4 linked regions of the Mytilus edulis genome follow. The protein of the gene in region 1 interacts with the protein of each later gene in a biochemical or structural test. Links are inferred from orthologs where the notes say so. Each region holds a gene or a part of one and is shown in the gene's direction. Other genes may lie near its edges.

The links.
Region 2: the proteins of E3 ubiquitin-protein ligase parkin-like (region 1) and ataxin-3-like form a complex in vitro, tested with the Homo sapiens proteins (4 studies listed by BioGRID and IntAct, with this or other methods). The link is inferred for Mytilus edulis from reciprocal best matches to the Homo sapiens genes PRKN and ATXN3.
Region 3: the proteins of E3 ubiquitin-protein ligase parkin-like (region 1) and probable ubiquitin-conjugating enzyme E2 7 form a complex in vitro, tested with the Homo sapiens proteins (5 studies listed by BioGRID). The link is inferred for Mytilus edulis from reciprocal best matches to the Homo sapiens genes PRKN and UBE2G1.
Region 4: the proteins of E3 ubiquitin-protein ligase parkin-like (region 1) and ubiquitin-conjugating enzyme E2 G2 form a complex in vitro, tested with the Homo sapiens proteins (6 studies listed by BioGRID). The link is inferred for Mytilus edulis from reciprocal best matches to the Homo sapiens genes PRKN and UBE2G2.

What each region holds. Positions count from the first base shown.
Region 1 is NC_092353.1:63,687,072-63,694,865, reverse strand, and holds the start of E3 ubiquitin-protein ligase parkin-like, read left to right. Parts: upstream 1-4,772; 5' UTR 4,773-4,830; coding exon 4,831-5,010; intron 5,011-7,794. UniProt on the Homo sapiens protein: Functions within a multiprotein E3 ubiquitin ligase complex, catalyzing the covalent attachment of ubiquitin moieties onto substrate proteins. Substrates include SYT11 and VDAC1.
Region 2 is NC_092346.1:61,398,214-61,406,030, reverse strand, and holds the start of ataxin-3-like, read left to right. Parts: upstream 1-4,802; 5' UTR 4,803-4,847; coding exon 4,848-4,871; intron 4,872-5,324; coding exon 5,325-5,489; intron 5,490-6,196; coding exon 6,197-6,333; intron 6,334-7,609; coding exon 7,610-7,764; intron 7,765-7,817. UniProt on the Homo sapiens protein: Deubiquitinating enzyme involved in protein homeostasis maintenance, transcription, cytoskeleton regulation, myogenesis and degradation of misfolded chaperone substrates.
Region 3 is NC_092349.1:6,893,731-6,901,394, forward strand, and holds the start of probable ubiquitin-conjugating enzyme E2 7, read left to right. Parts: upstream 1-4,649; 5' UTR 4,650-4,755; coding exon 4,756-4,801; intron 4,802-7,664. UniProt on the Homo sapiens protein: Accepts ubiquitin from the E1 complex and catalyzes its covalent attachment to other proteins. In vitro catalyzes 'Lys-48'-, as well as 'Lys-63'-linked polyubiquitination. May be involved in degradation of muscle-specific proteins.
Region 4 is NC_092357.1:21,471,461-21,478,805, reverse strand, and holds the start of ubiquitin-conjugating enzyme E2 G2, read left to right. Parts: upstream 1-4,330; 5' UTR 4,331-4,437; coding exon 4,438-4,480; intron 4,481-7,345. Other genes in the region: DNA topoisomerase 2-alpha-like, read right to left, coding at 490-583, 980-1,195, 3,988-4,014. UniProt on the Homo sapiens protein: Accepts ubiquitin from the E1 complex and catalyzes its covalent attachment to other proteins. In vitro catalyzes 'Lys-48'-linked polyubiquitination. Involved in endoplasmic reticulum-associated degradation (ERAD).

The sequences.
Region 1 (7,794 bases):
GGTCAAGGTCAGATGAACCATGCCAGGCAGACAAGAACAGCTAACAATGCTACTATACAACATATATAGTTGACCCATTACTGATAGTTTAAGAAAAATAGACCAAAACACAAAAACTTAACACTGTGCAATGAACCGTGAAAATGAGGTCACGGTAAAAAAAACCTTGCACGACTGACATAAAGATCATAAAATAATTCCATACACCAAATATAGTTGACCTATGGCATATAGTATAATTAGATGAAAAGACCAAAACTCAAAATCTTAACTTTGACCACTGAACCATGAAAATGAGGTCACGGTCACATGACATCTGCCCGCTAGACATGTATAGCTTACAATCATTCCATACAACAAATATAGTAGACCTATTGCATATAGTATGAGAAAAACAGACCAAAACACAAAAATTTAACTATAACCACTGAACCATGAAAATGAGGTCAAGGTCAGATGACACCTGCCAGTTGGACATGTACACCTTACAGTCCTTCCATAGACTGAATATGCTAGCCCTATTGCTTATAGTATCTGAGATATGAACTTGACCACCAAAACTTAACCTTGTTCACTGATCCATGAAATGAGGTCGAGGTCAAGTGAAAACTGTCTGACAGACATGAGGACCTTGCAAGGTACGCACATATCAAATATAGTTATCCTATTACTTATAATAAGAGAGAATTCAACATTACAAAAAATTTGAACTTTTTTTTCAAGTAGTCACTGAACTATGAAAATGAGGTCAAGGTTATTGGACATGTGACTGACAGAAACTTCGTAACATGAAGCATCTATATACAAAGTATGAAGCATCCAGGTCTTCCACCTTCTAAAATATAAAGCTTTTAAGAAGTGAGCTAACACCGCCGCCGCCGTAGCCGCCGCCGCCGTAGCCGCCGCCGGATCACTATCCCTATGTCGAGCTTTCTGCAACAAAAGTTGCAGGATCGACAAAAAGTGCTTGTTATCACTGAATGGTAAAGATTGTTTTAATTTATCAGTTGGTAGTAAAAGTGAATATATACATTGTATATTGTATAAAACAATGATTTAAGTTGATTCAACTACTATTCTGGACAAAGAAAGATAACTCCAATTGAAAATTTTGGACCCTTTGACCTTAATGTAGACCAATTTGAAAACGGGACCAAAAATTAAGAATCTACATACACAGTTACATTTGGCATATATCAAAGAACCCCAATTATTCATTTTTTGATGAAATCAAACAAAATTTAATTTTGGACCCCGATTTGGACCAACTTGAAAACTGGGTCAATAATCAAAAATCTAAGTACATTTTATAGATTCAGCATATCAAAGAACCCCAATTATTCAATTTTTGTTAAAATCAAACTTAGTTTAATTTTGGACCCTTTGGGCCCCTTATTCCTAAACTGTTTGGACCAAAACTTCCAAAATCAATCCCAACCTTCCTTTTGTGGTCATAAACCTTGTGTTTAAATTTCATTGATTTCTATTCACTTATACTAAAGTTAGTGTGCGAAAACCAAGAAAAATTCTTATTTGGCCCCTAATTCCTAAACTGTTAGAACCAAAACTCCCAAAATCAATCCCAACCTTTCTTTTGTGGTCATAAACCTTGTGTCAAAATTTCATAGATTTCGATTAACTTAAACTTAAGTTATAGTGCGAAAACCAAGAAAATGCTTATTTGGGCCCTTTTTGGCTCCTAATTTCTTAAATGTTGGGACCAAAACTTCCAAAATCAATCCCAACCTTTCTTTTGTGGTCATAAACCTTGTGTTAAAATTTCATAGATTTCTATTCACTTTTACTAAAGTTAGAGTGCGAAAACTAAAAGTATTCGGACGACGACGACGCCAACGTGATACCAATATACATGTACGACCAAAAAATTTTCAACTTTTGCGGTCGTATAAAAACTAGATGTTTCAAGATCAGCTGATATAACCAAAAGCATTTCAAATGGTAATTAAGGGTACCCTCCCAACCCCATCCCACACCAAAAAATAAATAAAGGGGGAATGTGACCATGGGACACAAATGGAAGATGATCCCCACTTGCATATTATGTTATATAGGGACATAACTCAAGAACAGTAAAAATGAAGCTACCCAAGTACAACTTGAGTTATGAGGTAGTAAGCAATCTGTACATAATAAGTTTCATAACACTTGCTTGAGTCAAACTAAAGTTAGGAATAAATATAAAATCCTTTTCGAAAGAAAAACTATATAAAAGCTTAGTTTGGACATTTTTATAGTAATTCAAAATAAAACATTTTACCTTTAGTATGGTAATGGCTATAATATAACTATACAGCTTGATAGACAAATTTAGTAATAACATCATTAAAGTGGAGTTAAAGTCTTATAGGATTGTAAGTATATTTTATTTTATCACCTTGTACTTTCACATTTTGACTGAACAATTTGTTCAATATTCTGACCAGTTGAACAATTTGATTTTATAAAACAAATTGCGATTTGGTCAAAATTTTGAATGAGTTGCAATTGGTGGATAGCAACACTAACAGTCAAGTCACTGTAGTATGATTGTTTTTAGTTAAGATTTTTAATAGAGTAGAAATCGTTTTTTATTAATTGCACTTATATTTTTGGAAGTTTTATTTTTATCGTTAACTTTCAATAGAATTATGTTGAAATAAAACTACATTGTCCTCTGCTAAGATTAGTTAAAGATAACAGTATTTTCCAAAGAATTTATTACAGTGTAGAAAGTTAATTGTTAATCTTAACAGGATTCCTAAATTTTATGACACCTTCAGTGGGTCAGTCTTAGTCATTTAGAGCTCAAATAATAGTCGTCTGCAAATGCAGCTGTGGCGATTTAATTACTTTGTTTTGATCATCTCTGGGAATCAGGTTTAAGTAGTGTAAAATTGTATGTCAAATGGTCAGACTTAAACAGATCATGTCTTTATCATGTGATAAGTTAACACGAAACAATGTTGTGAAATTGTAATATGAAATGATTTTAAATATTGGATTAAAAAGCAGTTATTAACAAACATTCGAGTTAGTTATATGTAATGGATATAATAATTCTATTTGTTTGACCCTTTCACCGATGAGTCCTGGTTTACCGAGATTCACGCTTCAGACAGCTGACGATGAGTCCTGTTTTACCGGGATCGGAATACCTCTTTTATTTATATTTCCCGCTCAAAACAGTGCAAACACGAGTTATCTTTCTTTGTTGAATACCCTGATGAAAGTGTAAACATGGCGCTTCCGTTTGTTGAAAACCGTGTCAAAATCAATGGAAATTTACAAGAATTAAAAATTTAGGAACATTTTTGTAAAAAGAATATGGAAGAATTGAAGCCAAACTAGTAAACTGAAAATGTCGTTTTATGTACACAACACTTGGAATGGACATCGTTGAGTGTAAGGAATTTGTACAGCCTCATTTCATTTTTCAAAATTTTGCCGTTTTGGGTTAAAAATAATGATTTTGGGTCAAAGAATAGATCTTTCAGAATTTCAACTAGATCATGCCGAAAATTTGAAAATTTTATGAAGAAAAAAATATCAAACATGAACAAAACTGTGAACATGGTGTTAGTGAATGAAATAAAGACACAAATAACTACAGACTAGTTTTTATTGACATTTATTATGAAGATCTCCCTCTTGAGTAATAGTAGCCAGGGAAGCCATCGTCTCAGACAGAGTAGCTTCTGTCTGGGCAGCTATCGGTGAAAGGGTTAACATTATTGTCGAACTCCCAAATCGTCAAACTTTATATGAACAATTTATTCCACTTTCAAATCGTCTCCCCAACAATTGATGATGATGGTGGTTACCATTACAGTCTGGAAACTGTATATATATAATGTATAATGTTATCATACCTGTAATTTCATGACGTCACCACAAGCAGGAGCACCAACCAATCCCGTTCCCACATCTTTGTCGTTTTTATTCATAGATCCAACATTTCTGGGATTCTCATAATGATCAATTACCTGTTATTCAAATAAAAATAATAAAAGTTGAATAATTTTTTGTTTGAGTATTTGAATAGAATATGCGATTCATTCTATTTGTCATGTTTTACTACAATAATTTAATTTGAATAGAATATGTGATTCATTCTATCTGTCATGTTTTACTACAATAATTTAATTTGACTGAAAATCATCAAGGGAGACAACTTTTTAACTCTTTGGCAACAACTCAAATTTCTGTCTGCAAAATCATGAAAATGTCATGTCAGAAATAAAGGCAGAATTTATTTGTAACTGTTTATATGGTTCACAAAAAAATGCCTATTCCAAAACAACTAATCTGATATCATAATCGAATAAATGAGTGTATAATAATGTAAACTTTCGATGAAGGACTTGGCATTGCATAACTTTTATGTAAAACTAAGACAACATCTACAATTTGTACAAGCAATCTTTATTGACAAATAAACGTGTTCAGATACATTTAAATATATATTCTTACATTTTTGTGATAAAGTGCAACTAACGACGTAGTTCGACTTTCTGTTACTGATCGAAGAAGTTGTCCTCCAACTCGAAATAAAGCCATGATGTTGTTTTGCATGTGGTCTGATCACTACTTCCACGTGACATCATCCGCCAATATAGTTTTTATATTTTAACATCTATAGATAAAATTTGATTGTCCATTAACATTCATTAATAACCGTATAACTTTCAAACACTATTTAAATTGTTTGATGTCCGCTTATAATTACATTTGTAGCTGTTTAATCAGGTATAATTATGCGTAGTAATATAGATATCTACTTTCACTTCTGAATTCTGACCTGAAATTGAAAGTAGGTGACATTGCTTTCAGATGACAAACATTGTAATAAATGTAAAATACAATGTTTCTTCGTCTTTTACAATCGAAGTAGATACTGACTGGAATGTATGGAAAGTGAAAAGAGAAATTTCCAAAAGAATTAAACTACCACCTGAAGAAATACAGTTGATATTTACAGGCTGTGTATTGAAAAATGATGCTATTTTAAAGGTGATAAAGGTTTATGATCACTACAAACTTTTTTTGGTATCAAGTACCCCACCCTTTTCATATATTTTGTTTATCAAAAATATGTACCTTGTCATATATGAGGGGGGATAGGAGAGGTCTTGATCCCGAAATCCCGGACTTGAAAAAACGAAATCCCGAGGTCCTTTCGGGATCTGGGAATTTAAATAAAGCAAATCCCGACATCACGAAATCCGAAAAAAAGATTCACGGATCCCAAAAGGGTCAATCCCGAAATCCCGAGCTTAAAAACACCCGATCCCGGAGTCCCGATAAAGGTCCTATCCCCCCTCATATATATCAATTAACAAAAAACAGACCTATAGATATATTTGAATATTTTTCATTTTCTGGTACATTAGTATATAGATTCTTATTTTACTTTCACTTTCTCTTTCTATTTATATCTATAACGTCGTCATAACAACCTCTATTGTTCAGCGAACCACACAACCGCCAAATTTGTACTTCACTGTTTGATTTCATGTATAATATTGTCCTGAAGACACCACCCTTGTTGGCGAAACATGTCGACCATAATAAACTCTTACCATGCCGTAATTGATCGGTGTTGTTGTCTTTGTTATTGTTTTATGTTTAATATTAATTAAAAACTGATAAAAGTTACAATGCCGTTCCCTCTTACAATGGAATTTCTGTAAATAATTGTTTAATGTTTTATGTATACAAACCCTTGAATGTTAATTACAGAGGCGGATTTAGGGGGGGGGGGGGCCCTTTTTGGGAAAAAATTTGGTTGCTTATATAGGGAATCACTGAAGAGTGACTGGAGCGGGCCCCCTCTTAGGTCAGTCAGTGGGCCCCCACATATGAAAATTTCTGGATCCGCCACTGAATTAGGTGCAAATGTCAAAATGGTCGGATTTATTGCATCTATCACTGGCATCAGTGGAAAAACCACATCAGAATAAGTAGAGTTTAATTGGTTTGACAAATAAGTGATGCATTTACAACTGTGGTTTAACGCATCAAAAATAAATACGAACATCTGATTAGTTTTAGATACTTATGATATAATCAAGCAAGTGATAATATCAACCTATTGATATATTTAATTCTGAATTTCTTACCCTTTTCATATATCATAGAGCATGAAAAAGTGACCTATTGCAGCGGCTCATCCCTACCACTAATTATATAGTAAGTGACACCCCCCGAGCTTTTTTTTTAAAAGGAATTTGATGAAAATAAAACCAAGTTTTTTGTAGAAAATCCACAGAATTTTTTGTTATAAGATTTTTAAAACACATTACTCTCTGGTTTTTCTATGATGTGCTAGTATTTATTATTTACAAAAAGTCCTGAACAACAAGGCCGTAACTAGGCATTTTATTTTAGTGAGGCAAAATAATTGAGCGGAGCGAAGCGAGGCGAAAATTTTTTTTTGAGGGTATGAAATGAATGGTGTAAAATCCTGCATTCTAGGCATTTTTAGAGAGTTTGATAATGTTTTGAATTTGAACACTTTATATAAATTTTTCATATTTTAAGACTTTTACTAACACCAACAACTTTATTTAAATTTATATGTAAGATAATCATCCAAATATCACTGATTTGAGTCTGCTGCCAGAACATAGAACAAACATCGATTCAGTAGAGTTTGCCAAATTTTTCTATTGCCGGTTCAGTCAAATCGTTTCAGAATCATAATTTGGTCTACTGGTATCCTTATCGCGATGAACATGGAGCATGGCAAGACCGCACAATCTCTCGCCACTCATGCATGCTCTTTTCCAAGTTTTCAGTCGTTTCAGGGCAGTCTGTGTTTCTAAAGGTAGCACATTGTCATCAACACAATGATCAATGTCTTCTTCCAATTCCTTCTCCATCAGCAATTCGGTAGCAGCATCGGTAGTAACAGTTTTGTTTGCAAAAGGGAATTAAGCTTTCCTGTAAGAACCATCATACAGTCGCAGTTTCAAAATATTCAACTCGCTTTTATGCTGACAAAGAGTAGACAAACTAGGGATAGAATGAGATAAGATACAGGTATATGATTCTATCTATAGAGTAAGTATATCTGGTATGGGTACAGGGGAAATTGGACTGGAGTTTTTGACGTTTACATGTAGGTCTGTAATTTCCAATTATTTCTGGAAATAGTTGGTGGTATTTTAGTTCCAGAATCTATAAATTTAGGGGTTAGGGTCTGGGGTGTCCGATTCCGAAACCCAGAATATAAAGAAACGAAATACCGTAGTCCCGAATAAGTAAAGACAAAATCCTGTGTTAAAGGTTCTACCATTCGATCCTCAATAATATCAAATTGGAATATGGGATATTCTTTCAATTTTTAAGGTTAAAGAAACATGGATAACAAGAATGTGTCCAAAGTACACGGATGCCCCACTCGCACTATCATTTTCCATGTTTTATGGACTTTGAAATTGGGTAAATATCTAATTTGGCATTAAAATTAGAAAGATTAAATTATAGGGAACATGTGTACTAAGTTTCAAGTTGATTGGACTTCAATTTCATCAAAAACTACCTTGACCAAAAACTTTAACCTGAAGCGGGACGAACGAACGAACGGACGGACGGACGGACGAACGAACGAACGGAGCCACAGACCAGAAAACATAATGCCCCTCTACTATCGTAGGTGGGGCATAAAAACTAATCCATGGATGTTTCATATTATTTATATTTTATTTATTTGTAAAGAGAAAGATTAAAGTTCGTGAAATGAATACACAGACAGGACTGCTCCCTTGCGATGCCCAGTACTTGATTTGTCAA
Region 2 (7,817 bases), on another chromosome or scaffold:
CCCTGAATTTTCTACACCAATTTTTGTTTGTTTGAAGTAATAAGATGATATATTGACAATATGTATACGAAGAACTTAAATTTATATTATAAACAACACAAGTTTACAGTTTTACCATAGTGTTCACAGTGTTATCATGATATGTGATATATGTCATTTGCCGGACTTTTGATCGATCATAGTGAAACGTTTCAGTATTAATATTTTTTTTGTGTGGCCGTCCGTCATGTTATTCGTTATTCGTATGAGAACACATATGAAACTTTGCTTTCGACAATTTTGATTAAAACTTAACTGTTCACATTTATTTAGGAGCCGTCAATTAAGCAGAGGAAGTAAGTTCCCTTTGTATTGTGAATCTTTTATGATATCGGAAATTCGTTACCGGCTGAATCAACTGTTAGAATAATTTTTTTAACGTCTCCCGATCGTACGAGAAACGAGAACAACAATGTCATTATGGTCAATGCCTTAGTAGTTTAATACTCCCATTCGTTGTAGCAGGGACTTTTAATACTAAGTATATACTAGACGTATATAAATATTATCTGGTTGTAGTTATATACATGTCTGTTCAGCTTTCAACAAAATTGATATTCATGGTCCCCGATAAAAAGAATATCTTGTGTTCTTTGATCTTGCTTTATATGTTTTTTAACTTACCAGTTTGATTTCTAACAAAATAATCTTTAAATACAGATAATAATTGTTTGCATAAAAATTGCTTCCAGGATCCAACAATACTGATGGAAATCGAAGGAAAACAGGTCATTTTAAGCCACTGATTTTATCGAGAGAAAACCAAAAAATCTGCGGTCACGATGTATTTAATTTTAATATTTATAGGCCAAAGTACGACCTTCAGGACGAAGCCTTCGCTCACTCCGAACAGCAACCTCAGCTTGTTTTTACATAAAAATTGCTTCACGTTTCAACAATACTGATGTTTCCTAAAGTGAGGAAATCGAAGGAAAAGGTCATTTTTAGCCATTTTACCGAGAGAAAAAAATCGGCGGGGGCTGCGCCCCCGAACCCCTGATCTTGAGGGCCTCAATCGGCGGCCTCCAAACCCCTGCCTCCCCTGAATTAAAACCCTAGTTACGGCCCTGCCCTCCCCCCCTTATGACTGAAAAACATATATTTTTTAGCATAAAGTCGTCCAAAGAATTTTTCGACAAGCTCCGCTCAGCGGTATATATTCAGTTCTCTTGAATCAAGTTCCCCTTTCAAAAATCCTCAATCCGTCTCAGCCAGTGTAGGCCGCAAAGAATGCAGGCTCCCTAATTGCAGATTTATTCACAAATCGATAGACTCAGAGTTTGAAATATTAAGTCTTGTTATTTCTGTCAGTGGTGTTAGTTGCTGTTGTATTGACGTTTACCCTTCACCCATCTTTATTCATATTTGCTGCAATAGTTTTTTTTTTTCTTTTTTTCTTGTTTATAAGAAAGGAGATGTGGTATGATTGCCAATCACGGAGACAACTCTCTCCACATGCAAGAGACCAAAATGACACAGAAATTAACAACTATAGGTCACCGTACGGCATTCAACAATGAGCATAGCCCATACCGCATAGTCAGCTATAAAAGACCTCGAAATGACAATGTAAAACAATGCAAACGAGAAAACTAACAGCCTCTATATAAAAAAAATGAACGAAAAACAAATATGTAACACATAAACAAACGACAACCACTGAATTACAGGCTCCTGACTTGGGACAGGCACATATATATTGTTCATTTTATAAAGAATTAATGTGTTGTGTGGAGAGCAAAACAAATTAGATACATATGGGTTGTCATAATTTCATGACAGCGACAATTAAGGATACAGTGGCGGATTCAGAGGGGGGGAGTAGAGGGCGTACGCCCCCGCCCCCCCCCCCCTTTTGCTCGGACTTTTTTTTTTTTTTTTTTGTAAAATGATTAATCAGACTAGACTTCGTGAACTTTGCCATTTCCCGTGTATTTAATTTTTATAAATACGACAATTCTTTACTTATAAAGATATTTTAGCTGAATATTAACTGATTGTCAAAGTCATGTGATTTGCTATGGTGGAGGTGACCAGTGCATTGAAAAAATGTCACTCGGTCATTTTGAAATTCAAATTACAGTAACACATTACTTAGGCTGAGGATGTCATGACAATCATGAAACCTTTATAGCGAAACAGGATTGAGCAAGAACGTATTTACTTCTATTTCACTATTCCACCAAACAGAAAGTAATAGTAAATACTCTATAGACTAATACACTCTCATGAGAAAATGTTCCACCATATTATTTACCTACGAAAACATGTTTAACCCCAAATGCCCCAACCTATTTTTATAAATAACAAATTGAATAATGATCCCCAGTCAGTATTTATAAGCTCTAGAAATATTTCAAGTCTCAGGTACAAACCATTTTATTTGAGGTGTCAGTCAGAGATATTTGAGAGAAAAAAAATTTGACTCTGATTCTTGCCTTAAGAAAAACTCAGTTCTGGCCGTATCTGGATTGAAACAATAGTCTTGTCCACTTTTTTTGCTATTAGCCAACAAAATTATTTAGCATTAAATGAACATGATGAATAAAAACGGGCGTATTTTTTTTGTGGCCGAGGTTTGCATGTCTGACCTGAATGTCTGTTTCGCCGGACTTATATATTGAATACTTTTTTCAAGACCAGACTGTAACCTGCCTGCTGGGTGTGGCCTTTATGTCTCCATTTGTCGACCGTTATTCATAAATTCGTTGTCATTTCAGACTCTTTCGTAGCCTTTGGTTGATTTGGAACCCCTCACTTTCCTTAGTTTTGTTGAGTGAAACATATCAACCAAACATTTGGATAAAAACTGCATGTTTGTCCTTTTAACTCGTGTCGGCCGTATTGTAAATTTCATCGAATAGCCCGGCGTATATCTTGTTTACAAGAAGAAATCTGTGAGGTTATGACAACTTAACTTGCAACAAACCGGCGAGAATTTCCATGTCTATTTTTTACTGACAAATCCCACATCAAATATATCAGTACATAGCTTTGGATCCATACTATCATTATATGATAGACAATTAATAGAGAGAAAACAGCATCAAAAATTTCCAACCCTTACACTTTACAGCAACTATAAAAAAAAAAAATACATGCCCCACGCCAGCAAACCGTTTAAATAGTACATATACTGACACTTATTTTATGTTTTTTAGCCCAAAAAGGTCCCAAAAGCTTTGACACTTCCGCCCCCCTTTCCAAAACTCTGGATCCGCCCCTGGGATATATATCAGAACAAGTGAAAGGAATGCAAGGTGACCAGAAACTGGTCGACGTTCATATGTTCTATCATGTTCGCATGCTTTAAGCAAAGTTGTATTAAAGATAACATAAAAACAAGTTCAAGGATACATGACATGCATTAGCTACTTTGAATTATTGTCTAAATATTCGCATGACCTAATGGGATCATATCAGATCATATCTGGCAGCCGATCACACACCACTCTAATCTAAATTTTACGTGTTATTAACTTATATTGAAAGTTCACCCTATAGACTACCTCTTTGGATACTAAGACATGCCGGGTTCTGAAGTCGAGTAACGTTGCATTCACGAGAACTAGGTTACCTTTTCACACTTCAGTTGCATGCATGTAAAGTTCAAGTTAACGTTCACAGCGATTACAGATAGGTGACTATACAATTTTTATGTAAAGTTAAATCAACAACAAAAATTTAACAACAACAAAAAAATCTACTAGCAAATGGATATAAACCTCGTAGTATATTCATGAACCAAAAAGTTCAGTGTTGAAACATCCGTAAAAGGTTCAACTTGTAGCAAACACTGTCACTTTCAAAATATCGTCCAGACGGCATACCGAGCAAGCTACAATTAGAATTTATCTTTAGCGTTGGACGCCGACGCCAAAGCTGGGCCTGCCGACGCGAGCGCCGAAACCATATTTGGGGCAATATGCGCAATTGTTTCGCTATAGGCGGTAATGGTAACGTTTTCTTCTGTAGCTCAGTCCGTATCGCAAACTTGGATATGTATGATGGCTCCTTTCGAAGCTGAGACATTTTCACATGTGTGGTTGAAGGAGGGGGGATAGGACCTTTATCGGATTTCGGGATTGACCCTTTCGGGATCAGGGAATTCTTTTCTCGAATTTCGTGATGTCGGGATTTAAATTTATTTAATATCGGGACCTCGGGATTTCTAGTATTTAAGCCCGGGATTCGGGATCAGGACCCCTCCTACCCTCTCCTAGAAGGGGTAAGAAGTGTGATTCATTTTCCCGTAAATAAGCATACCCAAAAAATCCTTTCGCGATGCGACTCATCGTGGTAAAAATATCTCCTTCTTCACACAATAATATCTTTGAAAATGTAATACAAGTACTTTGAACGGAATACATTAAATAACTCTATATTTTTCACACATTTATTCTATGGTCCTCTTCTTTCCAAATCAACACAAATGGTTAAGCGCAGTCATGTGTTAACATAGATATATGTTCAATATCACTACACAGAGATTTTTTGTTTACACACAATTTTTTGTGTTCCTCAATCGGAGGCGCATTAAAGCGGAGTATTAGCCCATTTGGGTCTAAAACCGGACGCCGACGCCATATTTGAACCTTCAACATCTAACTGGCTCTACTCTAACGAAATGTTTATCATTATGTAAATCATATCTTTCCCCTTAATTTTCATTGGAAATCAAACTGATTTCATATAATAAGAAAGGAGACCGTTGCATTCTTCTCACTATTTAAAAAAAATGGTAGGTAGTCCGATGTACCATTAGACAACAGTTACCTCCCCTAATAAAATTCATCACCGGGACTGAAATGGACACAATTTTTCATGAACAGGTAAAAGTTGTCTTTACAGTGACAACTTTATACATTTTCTCGATATATTTCATAAAACAGACTTGCTTGCATTAGGATTCGGTAGTCTGAGTGGTCAACTGAACCGTCCTTTGACCGCAGTCGTGACATTTTTGTCTATCACTATCAGCATCACTGACAAAATCACCAGATTTGATGCCATACTACAGTTTAACTGTATCTTCAAGTGACCTTAAGCAATTATATTTGGTCAGTGTACTTTTATTTCGTTGACGTTTGACTGTCATAAATTTAGGAAAATCTTAAAGTGTGTTAGAACTTAAATGAAATTTTCATCATCAAAGAGGGGTAACTCTTTTGTTGGGTTTCTATTAAATTTGGTACAGTGTATTACAATCAGAAACTTAAATTGCAATTGTAAGTATACGATATTATGTAATGATCAATCATAGGTTACCTATGCTTTAATTTTAGCAAGAGGGTTCCCTGTGTGCACAACACTGTCTAAATGCCTTAATACAAGGACAGTACTTCAGTCCAGTAGATTTAGCAGAAATTGCTCAGCAGTTAGATGAATCAGAAAGAGAACAAATGGCAGTAGGTGGCATACAAACTGAAGAATATAAAAGATTTATGGAGGTAAAATAATGATATATTGTATTTACCACACTAAATTCATTCTTTTTGTTTCTGTGCGTCAAGTTTAAGTTGAAGAATATGCTTACAAATTTTTGTTTGTTTAATATACTGTACATTATATACATGTACATGTACTTCACCATGTTTATTCTCATTGACTTTACTGGAAGTCTAGAAAGTGCGGAAATGTTCTTAAGAATCATATAGCTTAATAAAAATGGGGAATTATGGAGATTTTGTTATAACTTGTAAAATTTGAATAGGCCAAGGATATAGATGTGTTTGCAGAATGAGACAGAGACTGAGAGTGTGATCATAGTTAGAGAGAATGTCATGTTATTTGTGATATTGCATAACTGTGCAGATACCTTAAAATGTCTGGAAATAAATAAAACATCATCTACATGTATGGTACATGTACAAATGTATGTCACTCCCTGTTTACCAACAACGTGAACAATTTGGATATACATTTGTATATATACATTTAGCAAGCCTTGTGTCATGTATTATTTCATTTCTATAAACAAGGAGTTGTATAAATCTTAAATAGTTTGTTATTTCTGGAAAATTGATAAGAAATGTTATAACATGTATTATAATACTACATGTACATGTACATGTATGATGATTAATTATACAAAATACATGTACATGTACATGAAGTATACCGGTACTCAAGATAAAGTTTTAAATCTAATTTTCAGCAACCATCCAATAATTTTGATGACAGTGGATTTTTTTCAATACAAGTAATAGAAAAAGGACTGTCAGTATGGGGTTTACATCTGTTACCCTATAATTCACAAGATCCTATTGCTGCAACAGCTAGGACTAACCCTGTGTGAGTAATTATAATATGATGTTAAGAATCTAAGGTTGGCAGATAGCTTTCAGAAAAGAATGATACAATATAGTATGTATTGCATATATCTACATATTAATCTGAGTAACATTTATGAAATATGTATACATTTTGTACATTATCCAAATTGGAAAGGGAGAATCTTGTTGATTTCAATGTCAAAGGTCAACCAAAGAAATTTGATATTTGGTGTATCAATTCATTACATAAAATTACAACATGCACATAAAAAGATAAAAACTTTCACTAGAAAATAAAAAGACAAACAGACAAACACCAGTACATAAAACTCACCATAGAAACTAGAGACTGAGCAACATGAGTCCCACTAAAAGTTATGATAAAACACTTGAAATACCATCACCTTAATTATAAATATAAACAGACTTAAATGCTAATGAATGAATTTATATTGACATTTTTTAGTAAATGACAAGGAAAAACTACATTTTCAACGATTCTAACTAATCTCCAGTCAGGTCGTAAAGAAAACATTATTGATATTTTTGAAGAATAGTGTACAAGTCTGATCATAAAATTGAGAAAGGAAATGGGGAATCTGTCAAAGTGACAACAACCAAAGGCCACCAATTGGTCTTCAATGTAGCGAGAAACTCCCGCACCCGAAGGCGTCCTTCAGCTGGCCCCATAAAAAATATGTATACTAGTACAGTGATAATGGACGTCATACTAAACTCTGAATTATACACAAGAAACTAAAATTAAAAACCATACAAGACTAACAAAGGCCAGAGGCTCCTGACTTGGGACAGGCGCAAAATTGCGGCAGGGTTAAACATGATGAGATCTCAAGCCTCCCCCTATACCTCTAGCCAATGTAGAAAAGTAAATGCATAACAATACGCACATTAAAATTCAGTTCAAGAGAAGTCCCAGTCTGATGTCAGAAGATGTAACAAAAGAAAATAAATAAAATGACAATAATACAAAAATAACAACAGACTACTAGCAGTTAACTGACATGCCAGCTCCAGACCTCAATTAAACTGATTGAAAGATTATGTCTTAGTACATATTGTACTAGTATTAATTCAGCTAATGTTGCTAGCATATTGTTGTCTTATTCTTTATATGTGTAGACTAGTAAATTATTGAAACAGTTTGCTGTGGTGTCCAACACTATTTGTAATAATTTTTTTCTATAAATCATGATAAATTGTGAAGATGATAAAATCAGCTTTCATCATCAGACAGATTGATACTAATAATATTTTTATATTTATTTTTTTTGCAGAGAAATGAATGCTTACATATGCAATTTTCGAGAACACTGGTTAGCAATAAGAAAACTTGGTTATCAATGGTTTAATTTAAACTCACTACTTACAGGCCCAGAACTTATATCAGATACTTATTTATCATTATTCTTAACACAACTACAACAAGAAGGTAAGTAACTTTTTAAAGTGAAGGCAAAGATTTAAAAATATAAAGAATGATTT
Region 3 (7,664 bases), on another chromosome or scaffold:
ATATCATACATATTAAAAATATATCGATTCAACATTCTTGGCTAAAATATCATCTTTTCGTAAAAGAAATAAAAATTCTGCGAGTGAGTTTCCCAGGGTTATGCGGCATGCATATGATTAACCAGTGTTTCTGTACCTGTTTGAACTTGTGCAACACTGAAAAGACTAATAAGATCCATCAGGCAGTGAGATGTCTGAGATTGATAAGATATGGCATTCGCCAACAACACCCAAGGAGACATTCGCCAACAACACTTAAGGAGAAACTATATGGACCAGTGGATGCCCTACAGAAGACCATTATAAATGTTGCGGAGACTGGTATTCAAGTATACGGGCGAACGATAAGAAGATATGCGCATACTATAAGGAAAGCCGCACGAAAGTAATCAGTAAATGATCGCATCATTCTTCTCGATATTTAATGGATGTTTTCTGTAGTAGCAATCCATCAACATCTCCTTATTTTCATATTATGAATAAGATATGTGACAAGAAAACGCAAAACGAGAGAAAGATGTCATCAATTATACAGATATTTTCCATTGCCGTGCGGCTTTTCACAATAAGCAAAACACAAACCGTATGATATATAAGTTATGATTGTTAAGCCCCGGGGTTAAAAATGTGAAACAATAAACAAAAAACAAACCAGACAGTCTTATTCTACAAAAATAAAAAAATAATATGTAGTGACAAACAGCAATTAAAAAAACAACAACAAAACAATATGTTATAGGCTTTAGTCACTATATATTAATATCTTGGTATTCTTTAAAAACCTCTTTGGGCAGGCACATCATAAGAAACTAGTTGAGTTAAGCATGTTTTGCTCATGTATTTCTTTCTGTGATCCATGATGGTCCAAATTTGATTGTTTGAATGGGATTAAAAGAGCGGCGAAATATACCAAAAGGGATATCAAAAATAACAAATAGACATCGGCACAATATACTGCCAACGCCATAACAAAATAAGAAAAAAGACCAAAAAGACAATAATATATGAAACGCAACATAGAAATCTTAAGACTTGGTCTCAGGTGGTAGGAAGGGTAAGTAGATCATCCTCCAAGAATATGTCTATGCATTAAAAATATATATAGCGTTCATAAGTAGGGCATCTGTACAGCGAAGCGCCACTTTAAACACTACTGTCTATATCTTAAGTGGCGGAATCAGGGTGGGTGGGGGTTATAACCCCCTTTTTGTTGAAAATCAATGCTTTTGACCTATATTTGGAACCTTTTATCCTTGGTTGGAACCCCCTGATCGTGTCGGCCAGTTTTTATTGGTGGTGGAAGCATGAGTGCCCGGAAATCATCGCCGACCTTCATAAAAAAAAAAATGAGAATCCATGTCAATTAAGATATTGGAGTAGAGCGCAGTCGTGCCACTTGCAGGGTTCGAGCACACCACCTCGGTGTTGACAGGCTAGTAATACAGTAGTTGGACTATACCTAGAACACATTTTTAACAGCAAAATATGCTGACGCAATTTACGTCTTTCACATGTACCATTGCTGCAGGAAAGTTGACGGTGAAGAATTAATCAAATTTGTAATGGTATATATTTTTTCCTATTGTTTCATATAAAACACCGGCTACTATACTTGTTTGGCGTCCTTAAAACATTCAAATACACATAAAATATATATATTAAAGCAACTACATACCTATATATCCTTTTTGCCGTGTGGTGCAGTTTCCATTACATTATAGAGATTCGCATATTTTCCTTGTACAATGACACCGTTTACAGTTCCAATATTGTATTTGAGTATTTTGTTTATGTTTCCACTCAGTCAGTGTTTTCTTATTTTGCATATTTTCCTTGTACAATGACACCGTTTACAGTTCCAATATATTGTATTTGAGTATTTTGTTTATGTTTCCACTCAGTGTTTTTCTGGTAGTATATATCTATATTTCAAAATAAAACTAATATCGTTTCTTTTCTAGGAATGTACATATGCTCCCTGCGTAAACTTGACTGAGTTTCTAATTGTCTTTTTTAATACCAAGATCAGGATATATATACATCTATTTGCATAAAATCCTCTTACTGTCAAAAGAAGCTCATGTGCTATTATTTAGAGAATGAGTAACCATGCAAGATAATTTTCCATTTATTTTTGGTGTCAAATTATAGTAACTTTTCCATTCATTGATTTTTTTATTGTAATTCATTATTCAAACAAGTGCTCTGTTTTCGTACAATTTTAATCATTTTAATCTGTACATTTACATACTAATTACAAGTGCTTTGTAATCCGTTGTCAGAGTCTATTGTGTAAATGCTTTAACATTTAATTTCTTATCTCATTTCCTTTAACGAGATTTTGTATTTGCTCATTTCAAGTTCATTGTGTAACATTACATATGTATAAGGCAATTCAAAAAAGATCTGAAAATTATTTAATTGGAAATCCATGGAGATTTAGTGTCGTTTGTTGGTATGGCTCATTAGTGTTTCCCCGTTTCTTTTTTTATTTAGCATAGACTACACAGCTACTTTTGCATAGGTACTATTTTTATACTATTTCTGTACTTAAAATCTGTAGTACTGGAAATTTACTTTTAATATTTACGGTACTATTTCTTTACTTGAGAATTATTGTAATATTTAGGTACTTGTATTTTCCAGTACTTGATTTGTACTTAAAATATTGGTACAAAAATAATACAAACAATGATCACAGTATTCCATGTTTGAACATCGTAACTTTATGAGATTTGGGGAAGACAAACTTTCAAAATGCTGAAAATGTTAACCATGCAACAAAAAATCTGTAGTACTTAAATTTCAAGTACAAATCAAGTACTGTAAAATACAGGTACCTAAATATTACAATAACTTTAAAGTAACAAAATAGTACTGAATATTAAAAGTAGATTTCCAGTACTACAGATTTTTGGTACAGAAATAGTACCTATGCAAAAGTAGCTGTGTATTCAGACCGTTGGTTTTTCTATTTGAATTGTTTGATATATAGTCATTTCGGGACCCTTTATAGCTAACTGTTCGGTGAGAGCCCAAGGCTCAGAGTTGAAGACCGTGCTTTGACCTATCATGAATTGTTTACTTTTTACACATCCTACCTTCAACGGGATGGATAGTTGTTTCATTGGCACTCATATCACATCTTCTTATTCATATTTGCTGCATATCTAAATGTATGATTGCTCATACTTTTTTACATCAGTTTTTCGTATACATGGTATAGATTTGAACTTAATCGAATGAAAATATTTAGACGCCATCATTTTTAATTGACAAAGACTTGCGTTATTCTCAAGATATTTTGTAACCGCAAGGTCATCCTATATCCTTGTTACATTTGAGGTGGAGATTTTCAATGAATACTCAGCAGTTGGGCAGACAGCAAGACGGGGTACATTTTAAAAGTCTCAATCATAGGACCTACATTATTTAATACTTCAATGAATGACATATCTTATTTTATTGAACATGGAGCCCTTTTTAATTAAGCTGACGATAATACTCTTTAGTTAAAACGTATTTTATTTACTCGTAAAATTATGGATTGGACACAAGTGAAACCATACTTATGAAGTCCACGGCGAGTATAATGTTAATTTTAGTTTCACGTTACTACAGGTTTTCAATTATACATTTATTTTAGTATGGATGCAGGTATGGATGAGACACAACGTAAGTATTTTATACAAAATAATAAAGGATGAGACACAGGTTGAGTCTTCTAAACAAAATATTAAAGGATGAAACGCAAGTTGAGTCTTCTATACAAAATGACGAATGTAGGACAGAAAGTCACAGACAAAAAGTCACGGACATAAAGTCACAGGACAAAAAGTCACAGTCCATTTTTTCTGATTATTTTCTTTGAATAAAAAACGCGTATTTCTACAAAAATATTTTTGCATTTTTCTTGAACTATTGTACATAAACCAACTTTGTAAATAAAATTTATCAAACAAATATCAAAGATAATTAAATAATTGTTAAAAAAACGAAATGTCAAAGTGGCTTGGCACTTAAATGGCTTCATAGTGCCAAGAAATCTTTCTTTTGCACTGGTAAAATTAAATAAATCTTTATTTTTCAAGTATAATGACACATTTCCTAAATTTTAATATGAATATATGTATAAAAAGTAAATATTTCAAGTTATTTCTCTTACATATTCAAACAATTGTCAACTAATTATTTGTGACTTTTTGTCCTGTGACTTTTTGTCCTGCGAAATTTGTGACTTTATGTCCTGTGACTTTTTGTCCTGTGACTTTCTGTCCGTTTACCAAAATGACAATGGATGAAACACAAGTTGAGTCTTCTATACAAAATGATAATATATATACCGGTAATAATAATGGATAAAATGCAAGGGGAGTCTCTTTTTTTATAGGATTTTTATTTCTGATATTGTAAGTACATGGTACTGTAATTAGTTTGGTGGCTCTATTTTTTTTTTACATTTTCTTATTAGCCAATAAATGTGAGGTAATGTATCCAAGGATTTGTAAAGTATCACTATACAAAGCCTTGGTGTATTTTATTCAACACCGAGTTAATTTCGATTGTACCAAAGAGTATATTAAAAAAAAGTTGATTGCGCACTGAAAATAAAAATTAAAAAGTCCGCGAAAACTTACAGTTATCTCCCCTGTCGCTCAGCTGTGAACAAACGATTGCACCTGCGCATTTTTCACTTCCAGAGGCCGAGAATAAAAATATCCGTTGGAGTGGAAAAGCCGTGGAAATATTTCTCCCATGGCTGTTGACCAGTCAGCGCTCCTTTTACAAAGGCAGCTACGTGGTGAGGAATACAAAATAGGGAGAACATAGTCTTTGAATTTGTCCCAAAATTGAAGTGGCATCATCCTTTTCCGTCTCTTGTTGAACAGAAACGAAAACGTCTGCGCATATGAATCATCTCGACACGTTCATTAATAATAAGATTTGTTTATTAAAAATGACAATGTTTAAATATTTATACACGTTGTTAAATTCTCTAAAATATTCTGTGTGGAAATTTTCAATCGCCACATGTACAAATGACACGCATGGTCCCAACTGTAAAATTTCTTCATCAAATAAGAAACTATTTATCAACAAATGATCAAAGTTGGTCTTATGTTGAACTGATTGAGAAGTGTACTCACAATCAGATATATTTTTTCTGTGGTCATATGGTAAAAAGTTTTTCCCTAGTGTAGGAGGTCGCTGCCTACTCCCAGATTGCTCTGAGGGCCCTTTTTAGGACTTGTTGTCAATATTGATGGCATGGTAGGTCACTCCTTTGTTTGTATAATTCGACAACTGGTTATGATGAGCCCTGAGAAGAGAACCCTTTTGCAGCCAAACTAACCGTAAAAATCATTGTCCTGATCCCGATCCTAAGTTCAAAATTGATACAACTTGTACATGTACATGTAACTCTTTTCCTTTCTTCATCATTCATGGTAGACCATATTGCTTCTGGTACATGTAATTTTCTCACGGTACTTTGAGTATTTATTTAGGCACAGGATCAGATCTTGCCAGTTCTTGAAAATGCCCTGATGTTGTGATTTTCATGATGGGGAGACTTCAGGTACACCTCATACATGTCAACAGTCTGGAGTGGGTCTCATTGGGGTCTAAGCGTGACGCGGGATTGCTGATTTTTTTAAAGCGTGACACGTGAAAGTCAAATTATTGTGGCGGGAAATGAGGTCTTGCGGGACCCGGGAAATGACCAAAAAATGAGAATTGCTTACGTACATAGTGTAAGCGGGATACAGGAATCTGACAAAACAGTAAGCGGGATCCGGGATCGGAACCCCCCAATGAGACCCCCTCTGGAGAAGTGATAATTGAGACAGGTGACGTGCATTTTTTTTATTTTCATGATTTAGAGTATGGAACAATTGTAAGGTGTATACGTCTGTCTAGCATGGTTTATCTGATCATGACCTCATTTTCATAGAACATTGATAATGTTGAGTTTATGTGATAGCTACAAGTAGTAAACTTTCATATTACAGACTTTCAACATGAACTCAGTTAAAGTAAAACAGGCGAGACATTTCTGAGTGTGCAGTAGCACTCAAGATAGGTTAATTTGACAAATAACAGATGTTGAACTTGATATTTCAACTGGACTGTTTTTAAGTGTGTCAGATGAATGCTTGCAGTTTTTATGTAGCAGAGGGTACATTTTGTATTTTAAGTTTTTACCCTTTTCCAACAGTATGTTCATACATGTACGTCCCAAAGTTGGTTTCCATGCTCTAACTTTAATTGCCTCCACTAAATATTATGAAACTTATACACAATGCTTATGCTTTTTACCACAAAATACAGATCAAAATTGAATTTTTGGTGGTGTCACTTTAACGATTCTAGAGTTGTGCACCTTTACGAAGGGAAAAATTGCTTATTTTTGTTTGTTTCCCTTCTCTTACAGTCCAACTAAAGTTTGCCTCATTCATATGTTAAGAAGCTCATACACAATACTTATATATGACAACAAAAATTAGATCAAGTACAAATTTGGGTAGCATCACTCTTACCCTTCTTCACTAATTATGTCCCTTTATATGATATTCATCATGGGGCATCATCCATGGTACACCTTCCCCATTTATTTTTAGCAAATGTTTTGACAGTCCTAAATTCTTTGAAGTATGAAAAATTCTTTTAAAGCAAATAATTGAATAAGTTAATACAATGAAAGACATACCTAAATCTTAATTGAAACAGAATTGAAATACCAGTTAAAAATCTGACATTCAAAGGGATTGAAAATTATGTGAAATTTATATACCAAAAGTTAAATGTCATTAAGAAAACTCAGGTTTAACCACAGGCCCAGCAGCCCAAGCTTGTAAAATTCCTTTAGGGTCTGTAAAACTCATCTCTACTGTCTAACAGAATCTAATAAAAAATTTCAAATATTGAGCTCTTACATTGTACATAACCTGTAGATTTAAAAGTTTATCGTGAAAACGGCTTAAAAATGTATCCACCTCTGATAAAATTTGTAAAGACTTAAAATCACTTTAAATTAATAATTCTTTCAATAAAATCAGATAGTAGCAGGAAATCTTTAACATTTTAACCAAAAGTTAGACATACAATTACTGAAAACATTTAGCTATTATACATGTTATATTGAATGTTTGAAATCTATGATCATAGTTTTGAACTTAACAGTTCAATTTTAGTTTAATTATTAACCTGGAAATTCTTCTGTATTTCCCTTGTATCTATTTTTGTTTAGCGTCAGCAGTGGTCTTCCCAGATATTTCATATATTTAGCATCCTGGTAAACAAGGAAATTTGAAATACCATCTTTTGAAAAATAAATTATAGCATCACATCCATAAACAATGTATAAGAAAATAAAATGATTCAATTCAGATAGCATCACATTCAGAAATATAGCATCACATTACGATGATGCTGAAAGGCCCTGGGGAGAACACTGGTCAGTTGTTATTTGTTATTTTAATCACATAGTTTCTAAATGTACACTGTACAAACATGGTGGATGTTTGCAAATTTGAAGTATCAAACAAAAGTAAAAAATTGACATGTCAAAAACAATCAATTGAACTGAGGTCATTGCACTCTTAACATATATATAAACAGTGTTTTAAATTTATTTCCTCATCTCTTTTATATGATATATATCA
Region 4 (7,345 bases), on another chromosome or scaffold:
CAACATGATAAAGTATTAAAATTCCTTAAATAAATGTTTTAAAGGCTATAGGAGATAACTTTAAATTAAAATTCATTAATGCGTGACATATAGTTGTGAACTGCTACGGCATTTGGTTTTTGGTGGAGAGTTTTCTCATTGGCAATCATACCATATCTCTGTTTTTATAATAATTACAAAAAGAGAAGTAAAACAAGAATATGTCAAAAGTACATGAAAGCCCAACTCTTAGTTATCATTTCCATCTTCAATGGACCGTGAAATTGGGTAAAAAAATTTTGGCATTAAAATTAGAAAGATTATACCACCATATGGAACATATGGTCTAAGTGTCAAGTTGATTGGACTTCAACTTCCTCAAAAACTACCTTGACCAAAACTTTAACCTGAAACAGGACAGACAGACGAACCCACAGACCAGCAATACATAATGCCCCTCTACTATCGTAGGTGGGCATAAAAGCTAAAGCGCAATTACAGAAAATTTACCTAAAATTTCATCAAATATTTTGTAAAGTCCTGGTACAAATGTGATCTCTCTGTTCACCATATGACCTGCTTCGTCATCATAAACCCACATTGCCTGTAATAAAATTGATCAAAATTTAAAATCATGAAGTTATATTCAGATGTTGCTCTCTTTTCAATTTGTCATTTTAAGCCCTTATAAAAATTATTTGTTTTTCAAAGACCATTTATTTCATTGAAATCATTCATTGCATGCCACAATTTTAATTGAAGCAGTTTTGATACACATATTTGTAATCCAATCTCTTTAAAATATTTGTAAAGCATTCAGACAATTTTTTCAGATAAGTTATTTCCCCTGATGAAAATAAAGCACTGGTCATTTGTTGCTAGTTCAAATCAAACTTCTTGCATATAAAAGGTTCTTTTGGTATCCAATGTTCATATGTGATCTTGTATCCTAATGCTTTTCTTCCTGAGGAGACATACCATGATCATTAAAGAGACAAACCTGTGTTAAAGTTTCAACTGAACCAATGTATGAATCAGGTCTAAGTAATATATGCTCCAGCTGGGATTTTTTCTGGTAAATTCTTTCAACAGACAATCTTTTCTTTGATGCTTTAGAGCCGGCATCTCCACCACCAGGCAAATGGATTTCATCCATGTTCTCAGATTCAACCATTTTCTTTTTATCAGCTTTAGAATTCATATTGTCAAACAAAGTCTGAAACATAAAATTTACAAAAAATGATAAAAGTCAGAAAATATAATCTTTGAGAGTTTTCGTACTAAACTCTATAGGGTTGGTACATTTTTTTTACATGTATCAATCATATATACAGGTTGCGAGTTTTTGTAAAATTATTATTCTGAATTATGTTAACAATACTGACAACAGGCTTAACAGCATTGCTGTCTCATTGTTGTAGCATAAATGTTGCAGGCAACACAAAAAGTAACTACATGTACTTAGCAAGCATACTTTAATAGTCTTTGCTAATGCATATACACACTATAGATACAATGTACATTTATCTTCAAACAATTCATTCTATATCGTTTAACCCTTTTCTCCATAATGACGTCTTTTGACACCATCCCCCTTACTCCATGACGCCTTTGGACGCCTGTGTAGTACCTCAGTTGAAACACTGTGACTACAAAGTGTCTGCAGTTGACTTAATAAAATTTGTATCTGATATGAAAAGGGATATCATAGGAATATCCAACTTAAATTTATTTGATGAAATAGTTGTTTTTCACAATGCCTTAATACTTTAAATCATATGTTCAGCATTTAATTAAAAAAATCCTATGCGAATCAAGTATGCAAAAAAAAAATTTCAATGGAGGAAAGGGTTCAATAATTACTCCTGTTGTTTTGTCTGAACTAATTACAAAATCTGACAGCTGGCAAGTTAGTCACTAGTCTGATGCCCCAGACTAGAAAATATTGATTCGGACAAGTGAAATTTCAAAATTTTAAATAGTCATATAGGGAAAAATTTTGATATTTAGTTTCCGGACTAGTAGATGAAATCGTTTTCTGTGCAAACTGGTCCTAAGAGAGAAGCATCAAAATGGTAAATTTTGCAAACATACATGTAGCAACATTTTTTAGCAAACTATAAAATAAATTACAAGATTACCTTGCTCTTCTTTGTCATAAAGACTGTAATATTAATTTCTATATAACAATTAAATTTCTGAACCTGCCATGGCTAAAAATTAAGTCCTTTCTAATTACTTAAATGAGAACCCTGGGTAACTCTTAACCTGTTCATGAAAGAGGGGGGCAGGACCTTTTTCTGGAGGTCTGGATCTGGTGCTTTTAAGGTTGGGATATCAGGATTTAAATTTCTTTAAATTCCAGACCTCAGGATTAAATGTTTTTAAGCCTGAGATTTCGGGATCAGGAACCCTCTGACCCAACTCATCAAACCTAAACAATTTTTTGCAAAATTGGCTAGTACCCTCTTTTTGTTGGATATGCTAAACTTGATGGTTTTTTTCATGAATGAGTTACACTGGTAGACACAGTTCAATCTGTAATGATTATTGATCGTTATGGTTATAAACCAGGAGAATCTTGTTGTATATATGCATATTTTATGCCTAAAGAAGCGTTGTGTGGATTTAGACTTTTGGCAAGGAAATTAGTGGCAGGGTCGAAAGTTATAGGGGTGATCGTAAGGAACTCTCTATGCTCTGTAAGGCTAACATTTAGAGAACACCCCTATTAAGTAAATAGTATAGTCGCCCTGTGGAATATATTAAGAGAACGAGAAACGGCATTCAAGGCTGTCGGTTGGCTGTCGATGAGACATCATCAGAGCGTACGTTAGTAATATTAAGACGCTAGGAGAGCTTTAATATTCAGGAGACACTTTGTACTGGGTACAAGTGAACGTACAGGTTGATCGGATTGACAAGGCAGACTTTCCCACTCAGAGGACAAGCTGTAGTAGCCGGCACTGTCTGGTAGTGACAGACTGTCCCACTCGGAGGACAAGTTGTTCCAGCCCACTCTGTCTTGTATTGACAGACTGTCCCATTCGGAGGTCAAGCTGTTCCAGCCACATTGTCTTATAGTGACATAACGTCCAATTAGGAGGTCAGGCTGTTATATTGTATAAACTTGTATATATAGAGTTCATACTTATTTTGTATCTGCAAAAAGCCAGTGTATATATTTTGGTTCATTGTGCATAACGTAGATAGTTGTAGTTTTTAGTATTGCTGTATTGTTTGTGGACAACTTGGATCCAAGTATTAACTGGAACAGACGTTTGAGATATAAACGCCTGGTTACACATTACAAATCCGACAATCGTGTAAACAATGACTGTCAAAATTGTAGAACAAGCTTTCTTTACAGTCGTCTATTTAAAAAGTCTTTTGTACTATTGTTTACCCTTTTGATGTTGAGAAAAAAGTCCCCTTATGTCTGATGTAAATTATACAGAGATTCTTTTGAAATGATTAACAATCTAGTTTAAAATCAAAATTGAAGGGAAACCTTAATTTCCAACTGTAAAGAATCAGCCTGTCCTCTGGAAATCATCAACTACCATATTGCAACCTGGTGAAAGTTGTTATGTGACTTCATATAATATTCCTCATTTTATGATTTACATTTTTGTAAACACATCATAAAACCCTCCCCCTTTTTTAGTAGAAGTATTTCAAAGTCCTTTAACTTGCATGCATGAAAGATGACTACAAAATGTAACTGAAAACAGAAACAGTATGACATGACTATTATAAATTTACCCTCAAAGGACTTGTAGCCATTGCAAGGCTTAGAGGTATCTAAAAGCTCACTCCGGTGAATGTGATGTTACTTTTCCGTTTAAATCTAGTGCGCTAAAAACAACCAATCAAATCACATGGATCAATCACATGACCGGTCTAGAAGTTCATGACCTCTAGATAAAGAAATAAACACAGACCCTTCACTTGTCATTTTTACCTGGAGAGAAATCGTCAATAAATAATCGGAACATAAATACTTACAACCCATTCAAGGCTTGCCTGTGCCATTGTTGCCTTGCTTCAAGCACATAAGATGAAAAAATCTAATTAACATAAACGATCCGCAAAATCCAAGAGCTTTTCGGTCGCCCCTATTTTTTATTTGTCATAAGACACCAATCTGCAATCCGTCCTATTTGATAAATTTGAAAATATTTCCAAAATTAAAAACCAGATGTCATGTTTTCTAGAATATATTAATTCTTGTCGGAATCGTTTAATATTTCAACGGGTTTCTGTTAAATGTCCATTGTTTGCTAAAAACGGAACAGTCCATTTGATTGGTCGCCATTCAATGTAATTTAAACTTTAACCAATGAATACTTATTTTATTTCGTCGTTCAGTCGAACACTGTTTTTATCTTCCACGTAAAAGAATCACAACACGATTTTATGAGTTGAAAAAAAGTCTGATAAAACTGATAATGCAAAATGGCAGGATCAGCCTTAAGAAGGTTGATGGCAGAATACAAGCGTTAGTTTCAGATATGTTTATGAATATCTCATTGGGTCTTCAATCAACAGAGCTTGTTGTTCGGGTGTCGGTTTCAGGGGCGGATGCAGGAATTTTCGAAAGGGGGGGGTGCTAACCCAGGGCACCCAGGGCAAAGGGGGGGGGGGGGTGCAAAACATATGTCCCGATACAAATGCATTGATCGGCAAAAATAAAGGGGGGGTGCGCACCCCCGGAACCCCCCCTGGATCCACCACTGGGTTTGGCATAAAAGTTTTCGAGATATTTCGGCCACACAACCAGTTCGGCTATAGTTGTTTCGGCCGAAGTCGATTTGGCCACACCCTTTTCTTATTGTTCTAAGGGTTCATAACATCAAATTGACTAATTTGACCTATCTAGTTTTAACATAAACTGGACCCCTGTTGTGTTCACTTATCGCTACACTGACAACACCCTTTTCTTATCGTTCTAACATCAAATTGACTAATTTGACCTATCTAGTATTAACATAGCATGCACCTTATCGCTAATCCCGGTTGACCCGGCCGCTTGAACTTTTGACGCATTCAACAATCACTTTTGTCAGATGTTTTGTTTTGTGACGTCAAAATTTTACGGGAACCTGTTTGATATCCAGTAATAGCCGACATATAGCGATATGGTGTATTGACAAAAAAAAACTCTTTAAAGAAATCTGAGTTCATGTTCTAGTGGTTAAGTCAAGACCAATGTTTGAGGGGGGATAGGACCTTTATCGGGACTCCTGGATTGGGTGTTTTTAAGCTTGGGATTTCGGGATTGACCTTTTTCAGGATCCGGGAATCCTTTTTTTTGGGATTTCGGGATGTCGGGATTTGCTTTATTTAAATTCGGGACCTCGGGATTTCGTTTTTTCAAGTCCGGGATTTCGTGATCAAGACCCCTCCTATCCCCCCTCATGTTTTCAGTGCTGAAGGTCCCAATTTTGATTCTCACGAAAAATATCAGTACATCAGAATTGTAATTTTCATACTCTCGCACACATCTCTGGTACCCAGACCAGAGTTTAAACTAGAACGGGTACTTTTGGGACCTTAGTTGGTCAAAGTTGCCCCCTACTTTGACATGGAGATCAATCTTCTGATATCTCTGGTTTGTCTGTTTCCGCCGAATGCCACAGTGGTCTTCTCCGAGTACTTCTGCTTCCACCACCCTAGTAATAGACTTCCCAGTGTCCTAGCACTCCCTTTGTTTTTGGTTGGGATTGACTGTCCTTGTAAAAATAATTGTCGTATATATATACATGTATATGTACGTTAGTGACACATCTCCATTAATCCTGATAGGGCGTGCACATGGACGCCACTGTACCCTCGCATCTTTTAAGGTTTTTTTTTTAATAACTGAGGCATTTACCAGTACATACATACATTCACATATATTATAATTTATTTAAGAATTGAATGCTTCTTTTTGTAACTTCATTGGGGTGTAAAAGCGTTGACCGAAGTACATTTTGTATGAAGAGTGAAAGTGTAACGGTTTATTTCTTCCTCTGTGATATTTTGTCCTGAGGATAATTTGTCCCGGTAATTTTTTTCCAGGCATGGTGTTTCACAGGTTGATTTTTTCCAGAGGAGTGAAAATCTATCTGTGTTATGCGTATAGTATGTAATGGTTATATTTGCCGTACTATATTTCACAGAACCGTGTGAAATAGAGTCCCATTAACTACTATGTAAGTTACTCACAATCGATTTATACCTGACTATAATTATAAAATGTTTCACAAAGGTAGACCAAATTTGCATAATTTATCAAAGGGAGGTAATTATGAGCAATTTAAATTTTAAATATATTTCTGAATCTATTTTATAGTGAAATTTTTCCTTGAATCTTTTTTTTTATACATACATTTATATAAAAAGATGACTTACAACTTGATTTAATAAGACAGATAACATTTCACAGGTAAAAACTATCCAGCTGTTAAACATGCTTTTGTTCCAATATATTGTTATGCTATGATTTATCTGATTTCCATATAATCAACAACTACATCTCTGTCCCCAGACAAAACTATTTATATAGTTAAAACTATCATCATAATCAAATTCTTCTATTACTGTTAACAGTAGTAATGCAACTATATTTCTACCTTAGTTTTAATTTTATATTTGCACTGAGATCTGAAAACAACTCACTTTTACATGTATTTCACTAACCTTGTTTAATCATGATATTATTTTCACAATTACGATCTTTGAAATTACTTCTGGTTTTCTTCCCTTTGTTTCATGATAATTTTCTTTTTAAAAGGATGATATTGACTTGAATATTTCAGGAAATTTTTCAAGGATAATTTGTGAAATTATTTCCCATTATAATACATTATTTTTTTTAACAATTTCGCTTTATTTCAAATACACTAATATTATTTCATAGTATTTTTAAAGGATAAGTTTTTTCTAATAACTATTCAATAAGTTAACTACCTAGATAGAATTTCACGGCAAAGGAAAAAATATCCCAGGGAAGTATTTTCCTCCGGACAAAAAAATAACAACTGCTGTGACATTTTTTCCTTTCGGATCAAATTTCACCTGGATATAATTTTGCTTTACACAAGCACTTCATTCTAAAAATGTGCGCACGGTCAATGCTTTTACAACCCTATGAAGTTACAAAAAGAAGCATTCAATACTTATTATTACATTTTTTAGCTAGGATCATGAAAACATGAATTTTATCATTTTTTTTTTATTTAATTCACCTGGGCACTTTATTGTGGGACCTCATGTTATCATAAATGAAAAGTTTTATTGAGTAATGCAATTGCTTAAGGAATAACATGTGATGTGCATTTAGCCAATCAGAATAACGCATTATAGTGAAACATACATT